Linked DNA regions of Stegostoma tigrinum. The protein of the gene in region 2 purifies or fractionates together with the protein of the main gene of each other region. This does not show direct contact. Links are inferred from orthologs where the notes say so. Each region holds a gene or a part of one and is shown on either strand. Other genes may lie near its edges.

Evidence for each region.
Region 1: the proteins of ube3d (region 2) and dnaaf2 purify together in Homo sapiens (affinity purification with mass spectrometry; 4 studies listed by BioGRID and IntAct, counting the BioPlex papers as one, with this or other methods). This does not show direct contact. The link is inferred for Stegostoma tigrinum from reciprocal best matches to the Homo sapiens genes UBE3D and DNAAF2.

Annotation. Positions count from the first base shown.
Region 1 is NC_081363.1:35,789,087-35,801,275, forward strand, and holds the start of dnaaf2 (protein kintoun), read right to left. Parts: upstream 8,134-12,189; 5' UTR 8,120-8,133; coding exon 6,209-8,119; intron 4,616-6,208; coding exon 4,472-4,615; intron 2,744-4,471; coding exon 2,111-2,743; 3' UTR 1-2,110. UniProt on the Homo sapiens protein: Required for cytoplasmic pre-assembly of axonemal dyneins, thereby playing a central role in motility in cilia and flagella.
Region 2 is NC_081357.1:39,201,903-39,214,285, forward strand, and holds the start of ube3d (E3 ubiquitin-protein ligase E3D), read right to left. Parts: upstream 6,262-12,383; 5' UTR 4,804-6,261; intron 1-4,803. Other genes in the region: gap junction beta-7 protein-like, read right to left, coding at 7,709-8,467. UniProt on the Homo sapiens protein: E3 ubiquitin-protein ligase which accepts ubiquitin from specific E2 ubiquitin-conjugating enzymes, and transfers it to substrates, generally promoting their degradation by the proteasome.

The DNA.
Region 1 (12,189 bases), on a different chromosome or scaffold from region 2:
GAAAACCTGCCTTGAACTGTTCCTTCCAATGTGGTTGTAGGCATGCCCACAGTGCTGTTAAAGAGCTACAGGATGTTTTCATCACTTATCCACAAGGAAACTTAAGTAAATGCTTGTGTGCCATTCCAATAATATCACCTTTTGGGAGTGCTTGATCCAGCATGACCACACAGGAAACAATAGTAACCACAACATTAATTCAAAACATAAAAACCTGAGACTTCAAGATGCAACAGTCCAAGGCACATTACAGGACTATTATTAAACAAAACAGGGCAAGGAGTCACACATGGAGATATTAAGTAAGACAACTAAAAGCTTGGTCAAAGAGGCATGTTTCATGGAATGTTTTAAGGAGGAAAATTTGAGGCTGAAGAGATGTGGAAGAGTATTCCAAGTCTCTCTGCTTCAGCATGCTGCTCATCATGCACACGTATCCAAATGACTTAATTTTGTCCAGGTCATTGTTTCTAAAATCTTTCTTGCCATTCTTTGCACGCTTTCTTTTAAGGACATAAGATTTTCAATTTTTCTGCATCCTAAGTACCATCCCTTACTTCCTTCAGCATCCTAGGATGCATCCCATTCATATCTGGTGATTTTTTTCAACTTTTATGTAGAGTCAGCCTTTCTAATACCTCTCTCTCTTAAGTGTTTGTCCATTCAATGTCTCAACTACCTCCTTTTTCGCTATGGTTTGGATAGCCTTTTCTACTGTTGTAAAATCAATCAATGCACTTGAAGTGAAAATGCTCATAACCTAAAACAATCACTTGATAATTGGGAGCACTGCAAGTTATATATGAAATGGGTGCCTCCTTCATTTAGTAGTCCAACAGTTCCTCCCCAATTTATCTCAGACAAAATCTAATTAACATATATTCAGATTATTCAATGTAATAGTTGAAAATTTCCAATTTTCAACTCTTTACTGCTATCATCCCTCCCTACCTTTGAAATCTCGTCCAATCATTTGCCTGTGCCAATATTTCTAATCTTCCAACTTTGATCCACTGTACCCCATTATCCTAGCTTAATTCTAATTACTTCCAGCTTGAAGATTTCTCCCTAAAACACCAGTCTCCATCTTCGGACATAATCCCTTGTACCCATCTGATGCTCCAGTCCAACTGATAGAGGAGCAGAAGGTGAAACTTGCAATTCAAATTGGCAAGATTCAATCCATCAGGGAAATTGAAGAATTGTATATGTAGTTTTTAAAGAGTATTTTTGTTTTTAACTCAGAGTTAGGGAACCAACATGAAGTTTGAATATTGATACTACCAAAAATATTGGTGGTGGTGTCTTTAGCTCACTCAAACTGAAGTGCTGTTTGAACATGCACATTTTTTTCCATGCATGTTGTAGAACGGAGATTTAGATGACAATGGGAAAGGCTGTGATTTTGTTTTCAGCATATGGCTGGCCAGGTAGCCTAATGCTGTCAATGGCATGTGTTGGAAGGATTTCAAGGTTAATCATCAAACTGTTCAGCTGCATTGTGAATGACGTTTCCTGGCCATCAAGTCTCGAGGTGGAACTCTGAGACAGAGCTTCTGGCTCAGAGGTCGGAAATTTGTCCACTGCATTATTACTGTAATCTTAAGATAACAGTGATCGCAAACTCCAAAAAAAATCAATAACTTAAATTATCAAGTGATTAAAAAAAAAATTGTTTTATCATAAATTAGTTTTGGCATTTGAAACCAGATGCAGAATTTATAACAGTTTTTAACTTCTTTATTGAAATTATATAGTAGACTTGCCAGGTAAAGTTAATTGCAAGAGATTCAACAAAATAGAAATAAAAATACAGAGCTGAAACTTTTTAAAATCAGCTGTTGCTGACAAATCTGCAGACTTAATTACAAATCAGAAACTGTCATAGAAATTGCCAGTTCGGCTGTTATGACATGGCCAAGTGCTAACCAAAAATTAAACTCATTTTGAGATTTGGAATGCAACTTAAAATGCAAACCAACCTATACCACAGTGTATTACAGGTTTAAAGTTGAGACGCAACCTTTGTTTGTTCAGACCCCTGAAGTGCGAAGTCTTAAATAAGGTAAATAAAGTTAATGATTCCTTTCTAACCATATCACACATTTCTTTAGTCTAGTTGATACAATTCCATATTCTGAAAATTGAATGCAGATTGTGTTTTATGGTCACTTATAATCTTAATACTTTGGTCACTGGGATTGATTTCCTCAAGAATTTGCAGTGGAGCCGTAGTATTAGTAAACTTAGGAGTGTTCCCATCCTTATGGTTACTTGGAAGGTCATCTTCATCAAGTATATAACCACCATCCACTTCTTCGCACTGTTTAAATTGTACTGATTTTTTACAATTTACAGATTGTGGTTTGTCAGCATATATTGTACTCATGTGAGAGGGTGACATAACTGACTCACTTTTTATTTTAACCTCACTAAGTTTACTTGCATTAACAGCAGTCCAACTGTTACTGTCAAGCAACTGATCCATGTCCTTTGAAACTTTTACAATTGTTCCTTCTCCTGCCATCAGTAACTGGTCTTTGTGATTAGACACAGACTCAGGAGCATCATTTACTAAGGATGTCTCTTTTTTCAATGTGTTATCCTCTGCAGTAGTTTCAGAGGGGTAAATTTCTCCCGTCTGTTGTTGAATGTTTGAATCAGCATTATAAGCTTCATTGTAGTTAACTCCATCTGGCTTCAGGAAAAGTCTATGGGAACTGGTATTCTCACTTTCTTGTTGCTGAAATTATAAAATCAACAGTATTTGCCTGAATTAAAAGATTAGTTGTAAAAAAAAAATCACTGATCAATTTCTCATTTACAAGGCCTCTAAACAAAAATGCCAGTAAAGGCAGCCAAGGATTTGACAGATTTCAGTAATGGTTCCCTGGTATAATATCACTGTTTCTGTGGTTACTTCCGTCTGTTGAGTTTGAGGGAACTGTTTGATATGCACGAATAATAGTACTGAATGTCATTATAATTACCTGAAATAAAGATCTGCATAACAACATTACACAGCAATTTTAAATTTTCATCGAACGCTACCAAAAAATACAAGTAGAATGTAAATATTAGTTTCAGTCTGAAGCAGATTCAACAGTCACAGGTCTCAGTTCCTCAATATTTCAAAAATCTAGCAAAAGAAATTTGCTAACAATTCAAATTTTTAGTTACCAGTGCAGTTAGAGTAACTTTCAAAATAAAATTGGATACCTACTTGAAAAGGAAAACATTGCAGTGACAGAGGAAAGAACAAGAGAATGGTACTAATTGGACAATGTGTTTAAAGAGCTGGCACAAGCATAATAGACCAAATAAGATTCTACGATTCCATGCCAAGAGGTGGTGGATGTAATATTTTTCTTACAGTTATTACCACAAATAATTAATTGAATGAAGAGTAGCAGGAAATGATCAATTTCCAAATGCAGTATACCTAATACAGAACATTTTAAAATATCCAATAGTAAATACAAATAAGATTAACCTGGAATCAAATTTAAGAGAGCTTTACAATTTTTCTATAACATATATGATCAAAGAAAACTACTAAAAGAAAAATCTTGAATTATCTAACCCTATTTTTCCAGGGACACAAAAAACATCCAATTTGGAACCGAGAAAAGAAACAAATACATCAAACTTAAATCATGTGCAAACATACATGTTAAAAGTGAATTTCTGTTTTAACCGAAATTCATTGTTTCCTCAAAATGCTTGAATCTTCAGAACCAATGTTATTTTGTCGATTAACTTGAACAAATTTTATGCAAAAATAAATGTAAGAAATAGGACGAATAGGCCATACAGCCCCTCAAATCTACCCTGCCATTCTGTAAAATCATGGCTAATTCGCCCCAGGTCTGGACTCCTCTTGCGTTTCAGCTTCTTAAAACAGTGTACCAGTTTGGATGGGTTAACAAAGATTTCTGTTTTTCATTAGAATAGCGTCTTTAGGTGATAGGATAGCAAGCTGACTAGCTCGTTGCCTTCCTTGCCATGCTGGATACTTGTAGAGAACTTACGCCCACAGATGATATGTGGTTAAAAAATGACATTGGTTGGGGCAATAAGTGTCTGCAACTTTCCATTGCTAAATGTTGAATAAAATAGCACAATTCACTTTTGACATTCTTGCATTTGGATATTGGATAAGCACTGAATTATGCTCAGCAACAATATTTACTGCCATCAAATACCTAACAATAATCGCTACAGGTTAATGCAGAAAGAATGCTCAGTGTTCAGCAGAGATAACAGAGGAGAAATACAGTAATTGACAAAGATTATCTCGGGAAAGAACATACTTTTAAATCTTCTTAGTTAATATACAACAACTTATTTCTGCTTTGTAAAGCAATGCCATGACTGTTCTGCAATGTTTATCTCAATGGTCAATACAGGATAGTTTGTGAACGATATTCTGTTCTTGTTGAATCTTTGGATCTAGTTTCACATAACTCACCTTAGAATGAATAACAAGACCACTTTCACTGACTTCCGTCACACTAATCAAAGGATGTTTTCTTGATAGCTCATTTGGGACTGGATCCTCCAAAGTAGTACTCAAGAATTGACTGATATTTTCTGAAGTTACAAATAGTTTCTTCTAAATAAAAAGAACACTTTATTCACTTATTTAATACATCTGATGAAACATACTTAATTGTTTATGCACTTTTACAAATCGTACTCCTCGAACAAAATCTACAAATTATTTAAACTTAACTTGACTCCTACAATACTGTAGTATTTTCACAAAGTGTCAACCTACATTAATAAGAATGGGTTTTGGTACTGTGTATTACTGGTATATAGTATAAATGTATTAAAACCACGTGCAAATTTAACTGGTCTCTGAATAAAACAAATAAACATATAATCTCTCACTGAATACATAAAGTGATACAGTTCTAATAAACTGATATTCAAATTAATTTTCAAATGAACCAAGTGTCTTGAAATTTACATTGCCATTCGCATACTTGTAAATCTACAAGTGGGAAACTGCTCAGTCCCAACTACCATTTATAGTATAACTAAAAAATATAACCAATTATGTTAAGTTTTAGTCACGTAATTTCATATTAGATTGTGCAATGTAAGATGGAATAAAAAGCAGTGTTGAATATACTACAACAATACAATTCCTTTTGTTAACTGCCCTCCCTAGTCAATAATTGTCCGTGCAAGAGATTCTTGAATCCACTATACTGCTCACAAATGCAGTCTCCTTCAAACTGGAAACCAAACTCAGCTCAAACTGTCCATTGCAGGTTTAACCTTTTTAATGAAGACACATTAACCTCCCATTCCCACACCTTGATTTCTCCACTGTAGGTAAGTAAAGATTGCATCTTTTTATTTTCTGTATCTTTGAAATGGGGAAAGGTCTGTTATATGTTGACATTTCATAATTGGTTACTCTTGAATGTAATGTAAGGTGTCTCCAAGGTAAACAAAGATGGGCAATCTGAAAATTTCCCTCACCCTTCCAAATGGGATTATGGACCTACCTACAGCATATGGAGTGCAGAGGTACAAGGCAGCTCATCACCACTTTCTCAAGGGCAACTAGGGACAGGTAATAAATGCTGGCCATCAGCAACACCCATGCCCATGAGTGAATTAAGAAAAAAAAGTGGGTGAATGGTGTATACACATTGCACCAGTACATAAGTTACTATATATGCTAAGCATACACAATGTTTGCAACAGGCAAGTGTTTCTGAAATCAACTTTCAATAGATAAAGAGACAAAGATACTGCAATTTGTATTATTTAAAAGATCCAGATCATTTTGTATAGCATTGTAAGGATTTTTTTTGTAATTACTCATTAAATTTATAGCAAGGAAATGACTGCATAAATGTTTTTATCATACTGACAATCCCTGGGAAAGCACCGCCCATCATTGTTTACCTAGGAGACAGCTTACATTATACCCAAGAGGACAATTTCCAACAACATTCTACAATTCATTATGGAAGTTTTTTTTAGGGACTAAGATACTGCATTGCCTTTCATTAACCTAGTTACTAGTTTGTCCCTAAAAATAAACAGCAATAGGATGATTTTAAAATGTTTTCAGTATTGCTTTTAAAAAAGCTGCAGGAATGCACAGACTAATTAGTGAAGGCAGAACAATTGTTGCAATTGCATTTTGTATGTGGCAAGATATTTCTGCGATCTACAAAGTTACCTGCAAACGGTTGCATGTACCTCCAGCATGAAAGCTTTGCCACAAGCCTCGACACTCAGGTGATTTCATTAACACAACTGCAGCATTGTCTTTAGATATATTAACAACTGTTTCTGTGGTGTCCAGCTGATGTTCTGGAGGAAATTGAACTCTCAAAGAATATATGACATCAGAATCCTGTGTTCCAAATATAACACTATATTCATGAGTTTGAAGTACTGACTTGAAGCTTTCTTCATTAATATTTTGCACTTGCAGTATGAATGTTATAGCATCTTTGTTTTGATGGTAATGCAAGTCAGGACATACTGGTTCTGTTTTCTTTAAACAGTTATCTAAGTTGAATGCAGTATTTGCAGAGGAATCTAATTGTAGATAATCATCTATTTCCTCACCCACAGAACGCGTGCATGCCTCTTCCACAGACCCAAGAGATTCTTTACCACTCATTGCATTTGTGACATTTTCCTGTTCTTCAGGATCTACCTCTGAAACAAGTTTGGAAAAAGCGATTACGTCACTTGGTTTCACTAAAGTATTATTTGAAACTAATGCAGTCTCTTTAGTGACTGACTCTGTAAGAGTTTTGCTTTGGCTCAATTTCAAGTGTTCATCATTCTCAGATTGCTCCAGGTTGGAATCTTGTAGGGTTCTAAGTTCAAATTCACTTTTTGGATTCACACAAGCACCAAAACGCTCTCCATTTTGATGACGTAAATGTCTTTCAAGCTCATAAAATTCTGATTCACAATATGATTGGCCACTCTCTGTGGACTCAGTCCTTGATTGTTCAAAATCACCAGCTGAAAACTGTCCAGTTTCTAGGGCTTGCTCCAAACATAGCACAGGCAAAGTAACCACAAGCTGCCTCTTAGATTTGTTAAATGTAGCTGACCCCAGATTTTCATCTACTGGGTAAGGGAGTTTTAAATTAAGCTTGTAAGCCGGTTTCTGTGACTCCAAACTTAAAAATTGCTCAGTTACAGCTAAACAAGCATTTTCAGCAGACTTAAGCAAAGGGAGGTCAATAGTAATCACCAGTTCTTTAGGTCTGGTGCTGGGAGCAGATTCACGAGCGTATCGATAATCTTGCAAATCAACATGTGACCTGTGAACAATGGCATATTTGGGTTGAGTAAACTTGCCGTCTTGTGTTTTTGTATTCTTGTCCTTCACAGCAGATTTTGAACTTTTGCTTGTTGTTTTAGATTTTGTGCCATTTCCAGAGGCCATTTCTGACTTTGGGGAACCAAAGGGGTAAGGAAACCGTAAAGGGTCCTCTTCATCTGGAGGTTCCCTGGGAACACCAGGAATAGGTTTTCGAATGACAGCAGCCTCAGGCATTCCCTTGTATTTTGCTTTTAAAGTTTTAACATTTCTTAAATCTAGTTTGGCATTTAGTTGCTTCTCGATCACTTCAATTGAAGTTTGATCTACCATTGTTTTGAACTTCTGGTTTTTATTCGCCATATACAACGTGTCTGGATGAAAGACTACATCGTAAATCATGTGTTTTCTGCCATCTTTACCCAGATCTTCTCTCCCCGGCGCCAGACTGTAGGGAAGAGACCAATGTTGTCCCACTTTCCCATTGGCACCCTTTCCAGCTTTGCAAACGGGTTTATTTATCAAGTCGTTACTGCACACGTTGATGAAACATTTCTGGTCCCCATTGACGCTGGTTTTTAGGACATAACCTGGTTTGGGATGCACGAACTTAACGTCCATGCCCCTCTCTTTTTCAAGTTGAGTGATTTCCTCTTCGTACTTTTTCTTATTTTCCGGATTGGAGATTTCCTCCGCATATTCACAGAGCATTTTTCTGAACTTTTCATCTTTAAACGCTGTGGAGAAGCGTTCCACTTCATCCTGAGTCAAGTCCAACTCCTCGAGTTTAGAGAAAGACGCCATGTTATAGTTCCGCCTCTTCATCCGCCGGGCGAGGTCGCACCCTGATGACGTCAACATACGAAAAGTTTGGTGATCCTTCACATTAATCTCCCCCTTGATCCAACTCCGAAAGTTTTTTTAAAATCTGTTTAGTAATGTGTTTGAAAGTAACGCGATTTTATGCCTTGGGGATGTAGAACGTTGGGTAACTACGTGTTGTATAATGTGTGGCGGATTAAGGTCGGAAACGACCCGATGTGATGTGTCGTGGTTGCCAAGGAGACGTCGATCAAACCCAAACACAGACCCGGCCTGAGCGCTGCTTTATTTACGATCGGATTGGTAGCATGTTGTAAATAAACTCTGATTGTTATTACACAAATATTGCCCGCAGTTGGGAACTGCCGAAACAAATAGTTTCATCGGTGACGCTGCCTGTAGGATCTTTTAAGTTAAGAAACCAAGTTGAACAAGAATATGGCTCAATATCATAATTACGTGGACACTGGATCGCCAACTCTACGTGATTATCAACTTTCAAATAATTTATCTCTAGTAGTTAGCTGTTGATTTCAAGCATTAGAAGTAGTAAACCTTCCTACTGTCAACTGTCAGAATAAAACTCAATGGATCGAATTACGTACCAGCTGTACAACACTAGTTACGACGTAACTCTAGCACTGATGAATGTGAAGGCAGTGTAGAGGGTACAAAAAATGATTTACAAGAATTGTTCTGTGGATGAATAAGATGGAGCTGTCCTGATTAAAAATAAAAGATTGAGAGTGGAGGTGCAGGTGTTAGACTGGAGTGGACAGTGTCAGAAGTTACACGTAATCAGATTATAGTCCAACAGGTTTATTTGAAATCACAAGCTTTCAGAGTGCTGCTCCTTTGTCGGGTGAAGTGAAGAGAAATGTGCAGGCACAGAATTTATAAGTGGAGAGATATTGGGAAGATAATTCCAGGTAATTAAGAGTGTCAAAAGACTTTGTACTTATCTTTTGACACTCTTAATTACCTGGAATTATCTTCCCATTATCGCTCCGCTTATAAATTCTGTGCCTGCACGCTTCCCTTCACCTCACCTGGTAAAGGAGCAGCATTCCAAAAACTTGTGATTTCAACTAAACCTGTTGGACTATAACCTGATGTCATGCAACTTCTAACTTTGTTCAAATTATGAGTCAGGACAAAGAAGATAACATCAACTTACTTGTTAAAATATTTTTAACATCATAAAATGGCCCAAGGCATTTCATAGGAGCATTATACAGCAAAGTATGTCAGTGAGGTCCACAAAAATTTGTTAAGTGAATAGAGGCCAGCTTTATGTAGTAACTTAAAGGAGGAAAATCTTAAAGCAGTGAAGTAGATAGAGAAACAAGGAGGTTTGGAGAAATTATTCTGAAGCTTAGAACCTAGGCAATTTTAGACCAACCATGGAGCAACTACAATTGAGAGTGTGCAATAGAGCAGAATTAGAGGAGCAAGGCCATGAAGGGATCTGAAAGGTAGGACAAGAATGTTTTTAACTGTGTTGTTTGGTAGTTTCCAATGCAGATCACCAAGCACAGGCAAAGAAAACTGAACTTGATGTGACTTGGTGTCACTAGGTAGCAGCAACATAGTATTATTGAATTTTACATTCAGTTTTAGGCAGAAAATAGTGGGTCCTGGCTAAGATAAACTGGCAATTAGTTTAAAGAATAGGTCAATAGAGATGCAGTAGCAAACATCAAGGAGATATTTCAGAATATACAGTGGATATTTATTCCAATGAATAAGAAAAAAAATCAAAGAGACAGACTTACCATCTGCAGTTAACAAGAAAAGGCTAAAGGTAGCTTCAAATTCAAAGAAAAAGCAGGTCAGAAGACAGGACAGATATTTAAAAGCAGCAAAGCATTACTAAAAAAAAGGAAATAATTATAGAGTACAAAAAAGACAGCCAGAAATATTAAATCATTAGGAAGAGTTTCTATAAATATTTCAACAAAACAGTTAGCGATGTGTTAGTCCTATAGAAAGTTAAACTAGAGAATTAATAATGGAAAATAAGGAAATATCTGATGCAGTGAACAGATGTTTTGCAACTGTCTTCAGTTTAGAAGAAACAAGTAACATATCAGAAGTAACAATAGATCAGGAGATGGAAAGCAGCGAGGTCAGAGGAAAATCACAATCACTTGAGAAGTGTTGCTGAGTAAATTGTTGGGCTGCAAGCTTAAAATATCCAGGCTCTGTTGGGCTTCACCCTAGAGTTCTTAAAAGAAAAGGCTAGTGAGGTAATTAATGTGATAATGGGAACTGCAGATGCTGGAGAATCCAAGATAATAAAATGTGAGGCTGGATGAACACAGCAGGCCAAGCAGCATCTCAGGAGCACAAAAGCTGACGTTTCGGGCCGAGACCCTTCATCAGAGGGGTCTAGGCCCGAAATGTCAGCTTTTGTGTTCGTGAGATGCTGCTGGGCCTGCTGTGTTCATCCAGCCTCACATTTTATTATCTGAGATAATTAATGTATTTGGTTTTAATTTTCCAAAACACACTCCATTCAGGAATGGTCCAACTGGGTTGGAGTATAGCAAAAGGGAGCAAAAAGGGAGGCATAAAGCAGGAAACTACAACAGAGATAATGGGAACTGCAGATGCTGGAGATTCCAAGATAATAAAATGTGAGGCTGGATGAACACAGCAGGCCAAGCAGCATCTCAGGAGCACAAAAGCTGACGTTTCGGGCCTAGACCCTTCATCAGAGCATCTGATGAAGGGTCTAGGCCCGAAACGTCAGCTTTTGTGCTCCTGAGATGCTGCTTGGCCTGCTGTGTTCATCCAGCCTCACATCTAGGAAACTACAACAGTTGGCTTAACATCCGTCATAGGGAAAATGATAGAAGCTATTATTAAAGTTAAGGGAAGGCACTTGGATAAGTTTAAGGTCATCAGGCAGAATTAATATTACAAGGGAAATCATGTTTGACCAATCTACTGGAGTTCATTAAAGATATAATACTTGCTGTAGATAAAGGGGAATTGGTAAATATACTTTAATTAGATTTCCAAAACTTATTTGATAATCTACCACATCAAAGGTTGTTGTGGAAGATAAAAGTTCATAGTGTGGTGATTGCATATTGGTGCGGTTAAAAGATTGGTTCACTGATAACTAATGTGGGCATGAATGGGTCCTTTTCAGGTTGCTGGATGTAACAAGTGGTGTTCCACAAGGATTGGCACTGAGATTTCATCTGTTTACAATTTATATAAATGATTTACGTGAAGGGACGAAGGATATGGCTGCCAAATTTTCTGATGTCACAGATGTAGGAAAGTAAGTTGTGAAGAAGACATGAGAATGCTACAAAAATATATTGATAGATTAAATAAGTGGGCAGAGATCTGTCAAATGGGAATGTAATATGCACAACTTATGAAAGATTAGTATGCATGTAGATAGTAATTGGGCAAGCTAATAGAACATTATTTATTGTTCCAGAGGGCTGCCCTCATTAGAGATTACTGGTGGTGAGTTTAATCCAAAGGTCACCACACTTCAGGTGAGGGGGCAGGGTGAGAAGGTAGAAAATTAATAGTGACCTCAACCAGTGCAGGAATTGAATCCATGCTGTTTGCATCACTGTGCGTTGCAAACCAGCCAACTGAGCTAATTGACCTCCTATTAATTGATATTTGCAAAGGAATAACTTGCTGACTGATGCTGTACGTGGGTTCCACCATGGCTACTTGACTCCGATATTACACCCTCGTAAACATGGACGAAAGGGATGATGCAGGAAGGAGTGGCAAGAATGACCACTTAATATAAATTAAACAGAACAGAGAATGGAATACAAAAGGAGGGAGGTTGTGCTTCAGTTATACAGAGCACTAATCAGACAGCAGTTGGAATACTGTACATCCCCATATTTTCACTTTATTTAAGGAATTGTGTACATGTATTGGAGGCAATTCTGAGAAGGTGGGCTTTTCTTAAGAGGAAAGGTTGGGCATGTTAAGCTTTTATCCATTGGAGTTTAGAAGAGTAAGAAGTAACTTGATTGAAATACAGAAGATCCTGAGAGGTTTGA
Region 2 (12,383 bases):
TCAGCCTTTCCTCGTAAGACCTTCCCTCCATACCAGGCAACATCCTAGTAAATCTCCTCTGCACCCTTTCCAAAGCTTCCACATCTTTCTTATAATGCGGTGACCAGAACTATTATGCAATACTCCAAGTGCAGCCGCACCAGAATTTTGTACAGTTTCACCATAACCTCTTGGTTCCTGAACTCGATCCCTCTATTAATAAAAGCTACAGCACTGTATGCCTTCTTAACAGCCCTGTCAACCTGGGTGGCAACTTTCAAGGATCTGCGTACATGGACGCCGAGATCTCTCTGCTCATGCTCATCTACACTACTAAGAATCTTACCATTAGTCCTGTACTTTGCCTTCTGGTTACTCCTACCAATGTGCATCACCTCACACTTGTCCGCATTAAACTCCATTTGCCACCCCTCAGCCCAGCTCTGCAGCTTATCTATGTCTCTCTGCAACCCACAGCATCCTTCGTCACTATCCACAACTCCACTGACCTTAGTGTCATCTGCAAATTTACTAACCCATCCTTCTACGCCCTCATCTAGGTCGTTTATAAAAATGACAAACAGCAGTGGACCCAACACCGACCCTTGCGGTACACCACTAGTAACTGGTCTCCAGGATGAAGATTTCCCATCAACTACCACCCTCTGTCTTCTTTCAGCAAGCCAATTTCCAATCCAAACTGCTATGTCTCCCACAATTCCATTCCTCCGCATTTTGTACAATAGCCTATTGTGGGGAACCTTATCGAACGCCTTGCTGAAATCCATATACACCACATCAACCGGTTTACTCTCATCTACCTGTTTGGTCACCTTCTCAAAGAACTCAATAAGGTTTGTGAAGCACAATCTTCCCTTCACAAAACTGTGCTGACTATCCCTAATCAATTTATTCTTTTCTAGATGATTATAAATCCTATCTCTTATAACCTTTTCCAACACTTTACCAACAACTGAGGTAAGGCTCACTGGTCTATAATTACCAGGGTTGTCTCTACTTCCCTTCTTGAACAGGGGAACCACATTTGCTATCCTACAGTCATCTGGCACTATTCCTGTAGACAATGACGAGTTAAAGATCAATGCCAAAGGCTCGGCAATCTCCTCCCTGGCTCCCCAGAGGGTCCGAGGATAAATCGCATCTGGCCCAGGGGACTTATCTATCTTCAGCATCTGAAGGATTTCTAATAACTCTTCCTTGTGAATCTCAATCCCACCTAGTCTAGTAGCCTGTATCTCAGTATTCTCCTCGACAACATTGTCATTTTCTAGAGTGAATACTGTTGAAAAATATTCATTTAGCACTTCCCCTATCTCATCTGACTCCACACACAACTTACCACTAGTATCCTTGATTGGGCCTAATCTTACTTTCATCATTCTTTTATTCCTTAAATACCTATAGAAAGCCTTAGGGTTTACCCTGATCCTATCCGCCAACAACTTCTCATGTCTCCTCATGGCTCTTCTCAGCTCTCTCTTTAGGTCTTTCCTAGCTACCTCGTAGCCCTCAAGTGCCCTAACTGAGCCTTCACATCTCATCCTAACATAAGCCTTCTTCTTCCTCTTGACCAGAGATTCCACCTCCTTTGTAAACCACGGCTCCCGCACTCTACAGCTTCCTCCCTGCCTGACAGGTACATACTTATCTAGGACACACAGGAGCTTTTCCTTGAATAAGCTCCACATTTCTAATGTGCCCATCCCCTGCAGTTTCCTTCCCCATCCTATGCTCCCTAAATCTTGCCTAATCTCATCGTAATTGCCTTTCCCCCAGCTATAACTCTTGCCCAGTGGTATACACCTATCCCTTTCCATCACTAAAGTAAACATAACAGAATTGTGATCACTATCACCAAAGTGCTCACCTACTTCCAAATCTAACACCTGGCCAGGCTCATTACCCAGTACCAAATCTAATGTGTCTTCTCCCCTTGTTGGCCTATCTACATACTGTGTCAGGAAGACCTCCTGCACACACTGGACAAAAACTGGCCCATCTATAGTGCTCGAACTACAGTGTTCCCAGTCAATATTTGGAATGTTGACGTCCCCCATGACAACTACCCTGTCTCTCTCACTCCTATCAAGAATCATCTTTGCTATCCTTTCCTCTACATCTCTGGAACTATTCGGAGGCCTACAGAAAACTCCCAACAGGGTGACCTCTCCTTTCCTATTTCTAACCTCAGCCTAAACTACCTCAGTTGACGAATTCCCAAACATCCTTTCTGCAACTGTAATACTGTCCTTGACCAACAATGCCACACCTCCGCCCCTTTTACCATCTTCTCTGTATTTACTGAAACATCTAAATCCCGGAACCTGCAACAACCATTCCTGTCCCTGCTCTATCCATGTCTCTGAAATGGCCACAACATCGAAGTCCCAGGTACCAACCCATGCTGCAAGTTCACCCATCTTATTCCGGACGCTCCTGGCATTGAAGTAGACATACTTCAAACCAACTTCTTGCTTGCCGGTGCCATCTTGCTTCCCTGAAACTTTATTTTGGACCACCCTACTCTCAACCTTTTCTATAGTCGAACTACAATTTTGGTGCCCATCCCCCTGCTGAATTAGTTTAAACCCACCCGAATAGCCTTAGCAAATTTCCCCCCCAGGATATCGGTACCCTCTGGTTCAGGTGAAGACCATCTTGCTTGTAGAGGTCCCACCTACCCCAGAAAGAGCCCCAATTACCCAAGAATCCAAAACCCTCCCTCCTGCACCATCCCTGTAGCCACGTGTTCAACTCCTCTCTCTCCCTATTCCTCGCCTCACTAGCATGTGGCACGGGCAAACCAGAGACAACAACTCTGTTCATCCTAGCTCTCAGCTTCCATCCTAGCTCCCTGAATTTCTGCCTTAAATCCCCATCTCTCTTCCTACCTATGTCATTGGTGCCAATGTGGACCACGACTTGGGGCTGCTCCCCCTCCCCCTTAAGGATCCCAAAAACACAATCAGAGACATCACGCACCCTGGCACCTGGGAGGCAACACACCAACCGTGAGTCCCTCTCGTCCCCACAGAACCTCCTATCTGTCCCCCTAACATTGGAGCCCCCAATGACTCTGCTCCTCTTCCCCCTTCCCTTCTGAGCAGCAGGGACAGACTCTGTGCCAGAGACTCTATGTGAGCAGTGTTCAAGCTAATCCATCATAATCCACTAATGTCATTCTGTTGTATTGAAAGCAATCGTTGACTTACTATGTTCATTGTTACACTTAGTACATCCATTTTTACTACCAGTGACTGTTTTTCACAATTACCCACTCATTCACTCTCCTTCATCCCCAGTGAGACAAACAGTCATCCAATTATACCTTTGCGCACACAACAAACATTGGATATGCTTCCATTGGGTATGCTTTTTATAATATCCGAAGCAATAAGTAATAAACCTCATCTGATAAAAGCTTCAAATAAGAAAATGTACTGTGGATGCTGGAGATCTGACATAAAAACAGGCAATGCTGGAAAAACTCAGCAGGTCTGGCAGCATCTGTGAGGAGAGAAACAGTTAATCTTTCAGGTTCAAAGCTACAACTTCACAAATAACTTAAAATATAGTTAATTTTCCTACAAATTGTGACTGTGGGAGCTTATTTACAATAGTCTTTACATTTTTGAAAACTGAAACAGCCTTTTTATTGTTGGTTCCTATCCAAATTGGTGAGTTCCCATTTCTGATAAAATTTTCAAGCAGTTTAATTTCAACCAGGTTGTTCTTCTTTATATTCTACAAAAGAGGAACAGAATTTTTGGATTTTTGATATGTCTCTTTTTTTAAAGCAGAAGTAATTGCATGACAGCATTGAGTTTAAACCGTTTCCCCATCCATATCGAAACTAACTAAACTTTAAGGGTTGTATTAGACTAAGCATAGTATGCAACACTCACATATAATCATTCTTCAAACTGCTAAGCACTAGGTTAAAGGAACGGTCAGTAAGTCAAAATTAGATTTTAAACAAGCCTTCTTTTTCGGAAGAATAATAAATACTCAAAAGCATTCCAGTTTCTCAAACCTATCTGCTAAATGTGTAAAAGCATGAGGAAAATAAATTCTGAAAGATCATTAAGTAAGATCTATTGGCATCAATCATAGGAGTATTTGCATTTTAGAATGCAACCTGCTAAATGTTTTTAATTGTGGAAAACCCCAATCAAAATGACCAAGAGTAAAATGAACAACAATTGATGAATTGAGAAGTATATGAAACAAATTTGTTTATTTTCTTCAAGACAAAGTCTGCCAGAGAATTACATTGTGCAGGCAGCAACTTGCATTCATATGGCGCCTTTAAATAGATAGAATAGTTACAAAGTACTTCACAGAAGCATAATCAAGTAAAATATTGAAATTACATTTGACTTTTCAAATATAAAATATTGGCATAAATCTACACATGTTCTATCAAGACAAGCATTGAGTCCACAACATTTGAAATAATGAACAGGAACAGTTTAAATACAATATCTTAATGATTGTAGTAATCCAAAGAGTATTTGAGTTTGAGTAGTAATTATTGAATAATCTAATAAATCCAGTAATTCCTTAGTTTGCAGCCGGAAAAACAATCATGAGATAAAAAGAAAAGAAATGCATCCTAAATCATAACTTACATCCAAAAAGCATAAATGGTATTGATGTAGATATCTGAACCTACACTGTTTGCTTGTTAAGCCTGTCAAACCAGATTTGGAGTGTTAACATACAAAGCTTTCATAGCACTAATCTCCTCACTGAAAATAGACTGCTCTTAATATACTTATTGATCCCGATCATACTACTCACCACTGTTTTGTTAGATCAGCTAAGTTCAACAATGAATTAAGCCATAGATTTAAATCAATAACAATGACTCTTTGATGATCCTTGTCCAAGTTGGCCTTTCAACTGGTCAAGTTCAAATAAAAACAGCCCTCACTACATTTCTCTATATGCTATTTTTACAATGGTACTAACCAACCAAATTTAAAAGCCTCATTAAAATGGAATTTGGGCGAAGCACATTAAGCATTCAGAAGTCACATTTCAGAAAATACCCATTGACTTATTTGTATCCTGGTTTACATAAAGAATTATGTCCTATTGTAAATGCTCCGTGATGCCCCGGGTTTGTTTCTCCTTCATCGTGACATCAATTGTCAATCTATAGTAAAAATGTGTGCACTTATTGTGAAAGTTTTCACAATTGAAAGATCATTTGATCCAAAAATCCATCAGTTCTGTCTTTTCTGCTTTCAGACAGTTGAGCACTGGGAAAGATGCAAAGGCCGAAGCATTCTGCAGGAGCCCAGCTATACAGTTAAATAGGGTAGTAGTGAGGGACCTGAAATATAGGGAAGTCTGGGATGGAGTTTATTGAGAGTTGCTTTTTGGAGCTAAGTATGTCGAGGGACAGAGCTTTTGGAGCAATTGGGAAAAGGATTTGGGAGCTCTTTGCAAGCGGGGAAGAGAGAGACTCGAAGTTGGGAGACCGACAAGTTGGCAAGATGCAGGTAATGATCAACAGAATGTAATTCCTGAGAACTGAGATTTACCCCATTAGAAACAGGTTGTGAAACCTCCGACAGTAACGTTTTTGACACACAAGAAGCCAGAACGTGACCCTGAGGGGCAAAGTGGAAAAAGAGAGAGAAACCTCTGGAGACCAGAGAATGTGATCACCTGGAGTAAAGTTTGTCACTGCTAGGAGCAGAGAGTCACCCCTGGGAACACGGTGTAACCCCTGTCAAATACAGTTTGTGACTCTCTGGAACCTGAGAGACTCTGGGAACAGAAGTGTAGCTATCAAGGGCAAGAAGTCACTGAAGAAAGGACGTGGTTATAGGGCAAGAAGGAGAGTTGCAATGTAACATGTAACATCAAGAAAAGAAAACAGGAGAGTGGAGAGGTGGTGGAATGGGGGCAGCTTTGAGATAATATACATTAGAAAGACTGAAAAGTTATCAAGGTAAAGCAACCCCAAACTATATTGGAAACTGAAATGCAGCCATATTGCTCAAGCATTTGCAAGGGACCACTTGGTTATTGTGAGGTGAAGACGATGAAAGATATTGGAAAATGGGAAGAATTAAATTCTGGGTAAGATACTGCATTTGTTTTTGAGTGCTTAATTCTAGTGTTTATTATTTGATCGATTTTTAAAAAAATTTTCTAAAGGGTGGGTCAGCTTCTCAAAGGAATTCAAAATATGCCTATGTTTCATTTTGTCATGAGCATCACAGGCAAAGTCAGCCTTTGTCACTCAGAGATAATGGGAACTGCAGATGCTGGAGAATCCAAGATAACAAAGTGTGAAGCTGGATGAACACAGCAGGCCAAGCAGCGTCTCAGGAGCAAGATGCTGCTTGGCCTGCTGTGTTCATCCAGCTTCACACTTTGTTATCTTTGTCACTCATTCCCACTTTCAGGGTTTTTAAAGATAATGAAATGTGAGGCTGGATGAACACAGCAGGCCCAGCAGCATCTCAGGAGCACAAAAGCTGATGTTTCGGGCCTAGACCCTCCCGAAACGTCAGAGGGTCTAGGCCGGAAACGTCAGCTTTTGTGCTCCTGAGATGCTGCTGGGCCTGCTGTGTTCATCCAGCCTCACATTTCATTATCTTGGATTCTCCAGCATCTGCAGTTCCCATTATCACTGATACAATTCAGGGTTTTTTAATGTGTTTTTATGAATGGAAGTCTTTTCACGTACAGTGAAATAATTGTTTATGATTGATTGCATTTTCTCATGTACTACGTAACAGTCAGGATACAATTCGGATTAACTTTACCAGGGTAAAATAAACAATACAAATTACAGTCATTGTCAGAAAGTAAGACGAAAGGACGGAGAAGTAAAATCTCTGCATGCTTACAACCCTCACATCTTTACGCCAGAACACGTAAATTATGTTCCCATAATTCTGCCTGGCTGACAGTAAATACTGTCTGTGCAATAGCTCTTGTGTCTTTGTAAATGACTTCCTCAACTGTGCACCCACTTTCACGATTACCCAAAAACGCAACAGCTATTTTTTTTTCATCAAAATGAATAAGTGGTCATTTTCACCTTAGGATCAACTTGCCAAGTTTACACAATTTGTAGATGTACTCGGGAGGAGATCTTTTTTACTAAAGATATAATCTTTTACAAAGGTATAACTGACTTTTGTAATTAATATGGCAACCGTGTGTTCTGTGCTGACCCATGTGTCCTGCACTCAATTGTACAAAGCTTGGTTCAAAATTATATGTAATTAAGGCATGTTGAAGTTAGTATTCTACACATCCACAATCTTTTCAGTAAAAATTTTAAACATTCTTCAAAGATTCCTCGGCAGTAGCTCCATAAATCAAATAAAAGCAAAATATTGCAGGTGCTGAAGATTTAAAGTAAAAGTAGAAAGTGCTGGAGAAGTTCAGCAAGGTTGGCAGTAACGGTGGAGAGAGAAAAATAGAGTTAACACTTCGAGTCCAACATGACTGTGAAAGTTCGGGAAAGCGTTTTTAGATTTGAAACGTTAACTCGGTTTCTCTCTCCACAGATGCTGCCAGACCTGCTGAGTTTCTCTGGCATTCTCTGTCTTTGTTAATGCAATAATTCATGTTTGGTTTATTTCTTTAAATAACAGGTAACTGTCCACCAAAGTCTCTTGCTCTAAAGCCAGCTTTCATTCGCAATATCAGAGATTGTCTTGCTGTTGCTCTGATTTTACAAAGTGCACATACTTACAGAAGACCTCAAAGTGCCATTTTTAAGTCCTTTTCGTTGAGGCTGATTCGTTTCTAAAGGACGGCATCCACATTTCAATCGTTTTGCCTGCTTCACAGATCTCTTTTCACACCAATCTCTGCAATGTTTTAAGATTAGGTAGCTCATCTCACAAATGTTTAGCAGTATGCACAGAACCGAGGAGGCAACCATGCAGTAGAGGAAGATGGTCTTTTCTGTTGGCCGACTGACAAAACAATCCACCACATTAGGGCAAGGTTTGATCTCACACTTCAAAAGGTGAGGAATAATGAAGCCATCGTACATCCATGCCAGCACAAACAGGAAACTGAACTCAACTCCTGTTTTGAACACTAGGCTAAAGAAATAGGTCCACCACAGACCTCCATCTATGTTCCCTTTGTCTTTGTACAGCTTTTTTTTGTACTTCTTCTCTCGGTGTTCCCTGTAACCTACATGCATGACAACCAGAAGAGAAGGGGTAGAAACCAAGATAAGTTGCAGTGCCCAAAGTCTTGAGTGCGACACTGGAAAGAAGTGGTCGAAACATACATTTTCACAACCAACTTGCCTTGAGTTGCAGGTAAACTCCTTCTGTTCATCATTCCAGACACGTTCTGCAGCCACCACATAGATAAGGACTCGGAATACGAACATAACACTCAACCAGATTCTCCCCACAACAGTGGAGTATTTATTCACTCCGCTCAAAACATCACGGAGTAAACTCCAGCTCATGGCTCCTCAATAACTTGATGATGAATCTACAGAATAGAGAAAAGAAATTTGAAATTAATGCACTGGATGAGTTATAGTTATTTTAATCAATCTTATCAGACTTGCATGACACATCTCTGGGGCAGCTGGGCCTTGAACCTAGCCCACTCAGCCCAGGCTTAGGGAGTCTACCACTGCACCCCAAGGGACATCGCCACAATTTGCACTGTCTTAGTTTAATGGCAGCACTTATTTATGTAGAGCATCTAATGAAATAAATCTCCCCAAGAACCCACACAGAAGTGTTGTAATACTCGCATAAAGGAGTATTGGGCAGTGGACCAAAGCATTGAGAACACAAGAGATAGGAGCAGGTGTAGGCCATTCAGCCTTTCAAGTCTGACCTACCATTCATTAGGATCATGGCCAAGGCTCAACTCTCCTTTCACCAGCTCTTCATTGCCCACAACTCCCCCAGATTTCAAAAATCTATCTACCTTCTTTTTAAATACTTTCAGTGATCCAATCTCTGGGGTAGAGAATTCCAGATGTTCTCTGGCTTCTGTGCAACATTCCCTCTAAGCTGCTTAGAGGCAGCTGCTCTGATATTCTGCACCCAACAGTCAGCAGTGGCATGCTGATCCTGTGGTTGATATCCAGTTCCAGAAGCCATGCTTGGACCCCTGAGAACCCATGCAGCTGTTAAGGAAAATTAGAGGGAATGCCATCTCTGGGAGAAGAAAATCCTTTATAAATCTCTATAAGGTCACCCCTCAACCTCCTGTGCTCCAGCGAATAAAGGTCCCAGCCTAACCAGTCTCTCCTTATAAGTCAAACCTTCCATTCCCAGACACATCCAGGGAATCTGTTTTGACCCCTTAAACCATTAATTCCTTCGTGGTTTACCTAAGGATTATTTGTGCAAATTTTGAGGGCTGTTCCCCTGGTTTTCCATGGTAAGTTGTGAGGGTTTTCCAATCTGCAATTCTGGTGGGCAAGGTTCAGTGCTAGCAGCTGAAACTCAAAAACATCTGCCCTGATTCCAACCATTTTGAATACTATCTCAGTCCTTTATCTGTCCATCTTAATTTGAGTGCCTTTTCCTTTCGAACTCAGTATTGAAGATCAAAGTTGTGATATGAAGGTGATATGTAAAATCATAGCAAGGCAACAGTTGGAGTATTGATTACAGTTTTGGTCTACACGTTACAGGAAGAAGGTGAAGGCAATGGAGGGAGAGTATAGTACAGACTTTCTTCAATCAGGAAGGGCCTCCTCAGAGAGCTGCTGGCCAATCAGACACTGACAGGCCTCCAAATCAGGAGCAGTGGCTACAGCCAGTACTGTACTGCTCCTTCACCTGAGATCGTCACTGCATCCCTAGAGAGAGAAAAGAGTGTATGGGATATGCTGGAAGGAAAGGAGGTACCAGCTAAAAGGGTAGGAAGGCTGTGGCCAAACAACTGAGGGCTGAGGGGAACCCATCTTAGAAAGCCCAGGAGCCTGATAAGAAGGGACAGCTGTAACCTCTCTCCCCACTGCAGCCTGTCTCCATCCCCCACCGCTTGCTACAGTGTTCTAGTGAAGACCAGCGCAAGCTGGAGGAACAACACCTCATTTTCCGCTTGGGGACCCTACAGCCCGCTGGACTCAATATCGAGTTCAATAATTTTAGGGCCTAAACTCACCCATGTCCCAGCCCCCACCCCACACACCAGGCCTTGTCACCACATAGCCTGCCACTACACACCCCCTGTTATTAGTCACTAACGGTCCCCATTAACAACTATTCACCCTCCCAGCCTGATCGTTAGCAACTCCTTTGTTTGTCCAACTGTCTTTCTCTCTCTTTGGGGTCTATCCTATCATTTACTCCCTACCCCACCCACCTCCCTATTTTCTGCATATAAACTGACAATTTCCCAGCCACCATCAGCTCTGAAGAAGGGTGACTGGACTGAAATGTTAAGTCTGTTTTCTCCTCCACAGATGCTACCAGACCTGCTGAGCTTTTCCAGCAACTTCAGTTTTTGTTCCTGATTTACAGCATCCACCATTCTTTAGGTTTTTATTATTATTGTAGATCCTACATTTTAAAGAGATTAATATACAGTGGTTTAATTGAGAGTTCCAAACAAAAATGCAAATATATTTTTGATTTAGTCTAATATAGGATTCCTTAGTCAAGATAATAAAGTGTGAAGTTGGATGAACACAGCAGGCCATCAGCATCTCAGGAGCTTTTGTGCTCCTGAGATGCTGCTTGGCCTGCTGTGTTCATCCAGCTTCACACTTTATTATCTTGGATTCTCCAGCATCTGCAGTTCCCATTATCCCTTCCTTAGTCAAGCTTGTTTTTTGTAAATTGATACTGCATTTTAAATTAATTAATTACACAGATGTATTTTGTTGTGGCTTATGATGGAAGTTGCTTTGCATTGATAAATTTATACAGACTCTGTAAATAGAAAAAGCTGGTTTTGGTAGTCAAATTTTAATTCAATGCAGAGTTTGTTGACATAGGTCTGCAGCAATATCAAGCAAATACATCATTCAATTTCATTGCATTCTCTTTTCATATGTTTCATTAATACACCCAAAGTCAAATCAGAGACAAATTACATCTTTCCCTACGATGAATATTAAACATAAATGTTGAAGAATGAAATATTGAACATGCAATTTTTTAACCAGGCAGAATTGGCAAATTCTGTGTAAATCACCTCACTGTAACCAAGGAACTCCTTCATGATCAACAACATATTCAGTTGTTCTTTTTCCATCTAACACCTGCTTCATTCTGTCAGCAGTCGTGCTGTTGAATTTGTCAGTTTAAGATCCCAGTAATTATACAACAATTGTTACTGCCATCGAAGCTCCAGGCTCCTGAGCAACCATGATCTGTCAGTAATATGATGAGTTTAGCTCATAAGCAATTGTTTATGGTGTACAAATGTTTATCGTGGGTTTGTACAGCATTTCACTTGATAATTTGTGTCCTTGTTTAGGCTTAAATTTACTCTGCATTTAAGTTTAATCAATAAAGTAAAATTTTAGTCTGGCTCCTGTCTAGTTTAGTGACATTACTGTTTTTTTTTCTGAGATGGTGATCAGGACTGTTCAAGGAGAGGACATCAGTAATGTGGAATTGGTCAGTCTCCCACATCTGCGTGCCAGCACCAGGTACCCGTGAGCTAGGAATAATACAAAAAATCTTTGTTGGTATGGAGAAGGTTCTAGAAGGCAGGAACATAGACACAGGAGGAAATAACCTCTACACCCTCCAGACTCACTTCATTTATCCCTAAGCATTTATTTTTCAATTCATTTGGCCAGCTCATCTCAGCTTTTGGCTTAAAAAAGGTCATCCCAGGATCAAATGCAAAGTGAGCTATGGGAGTGGTCAGGGTGGATTAGTGGCCAGATTGTGGGCACATTGTGAGGGAGCTGTGCATTTTCTGTGGTCAGTCGTCATTGGTAGAATAGGAGCAATGGGTGTGTCAGTCCACATTAAACTAAGTGACCTATTAGTTTGAGTGAAACTTTATAACTATGCATTACAGTTGCAAGAAGATTACAGCTGAGATAATCTGCTCCTCAGTACAGACTAGAAGGCTGAGTACAATCATTACAACAATCACCAACAACATCACCCAAGCCTGCCCATCCAAACAAAACAAAATACAGCAGATGGTGGAAATCTGAAGGAACTAAGTGAAAGCTCCAAACCAAGGAATATGCATGCACATCACTGTTAAAGTGTCATGTTGTGTGCAGTTAAGAAATAAAACAGACAATAAAATATGTCACTGCAATATTCATGCCATTGTCTTCTTTAGGGAATGGATAAATCACAAGCATTTAACCGAATGAATGAAATGCTTCTAGAGGCAACAGCAACAAACTCCAACATGGAAAAGGACAACCCACAAGGACA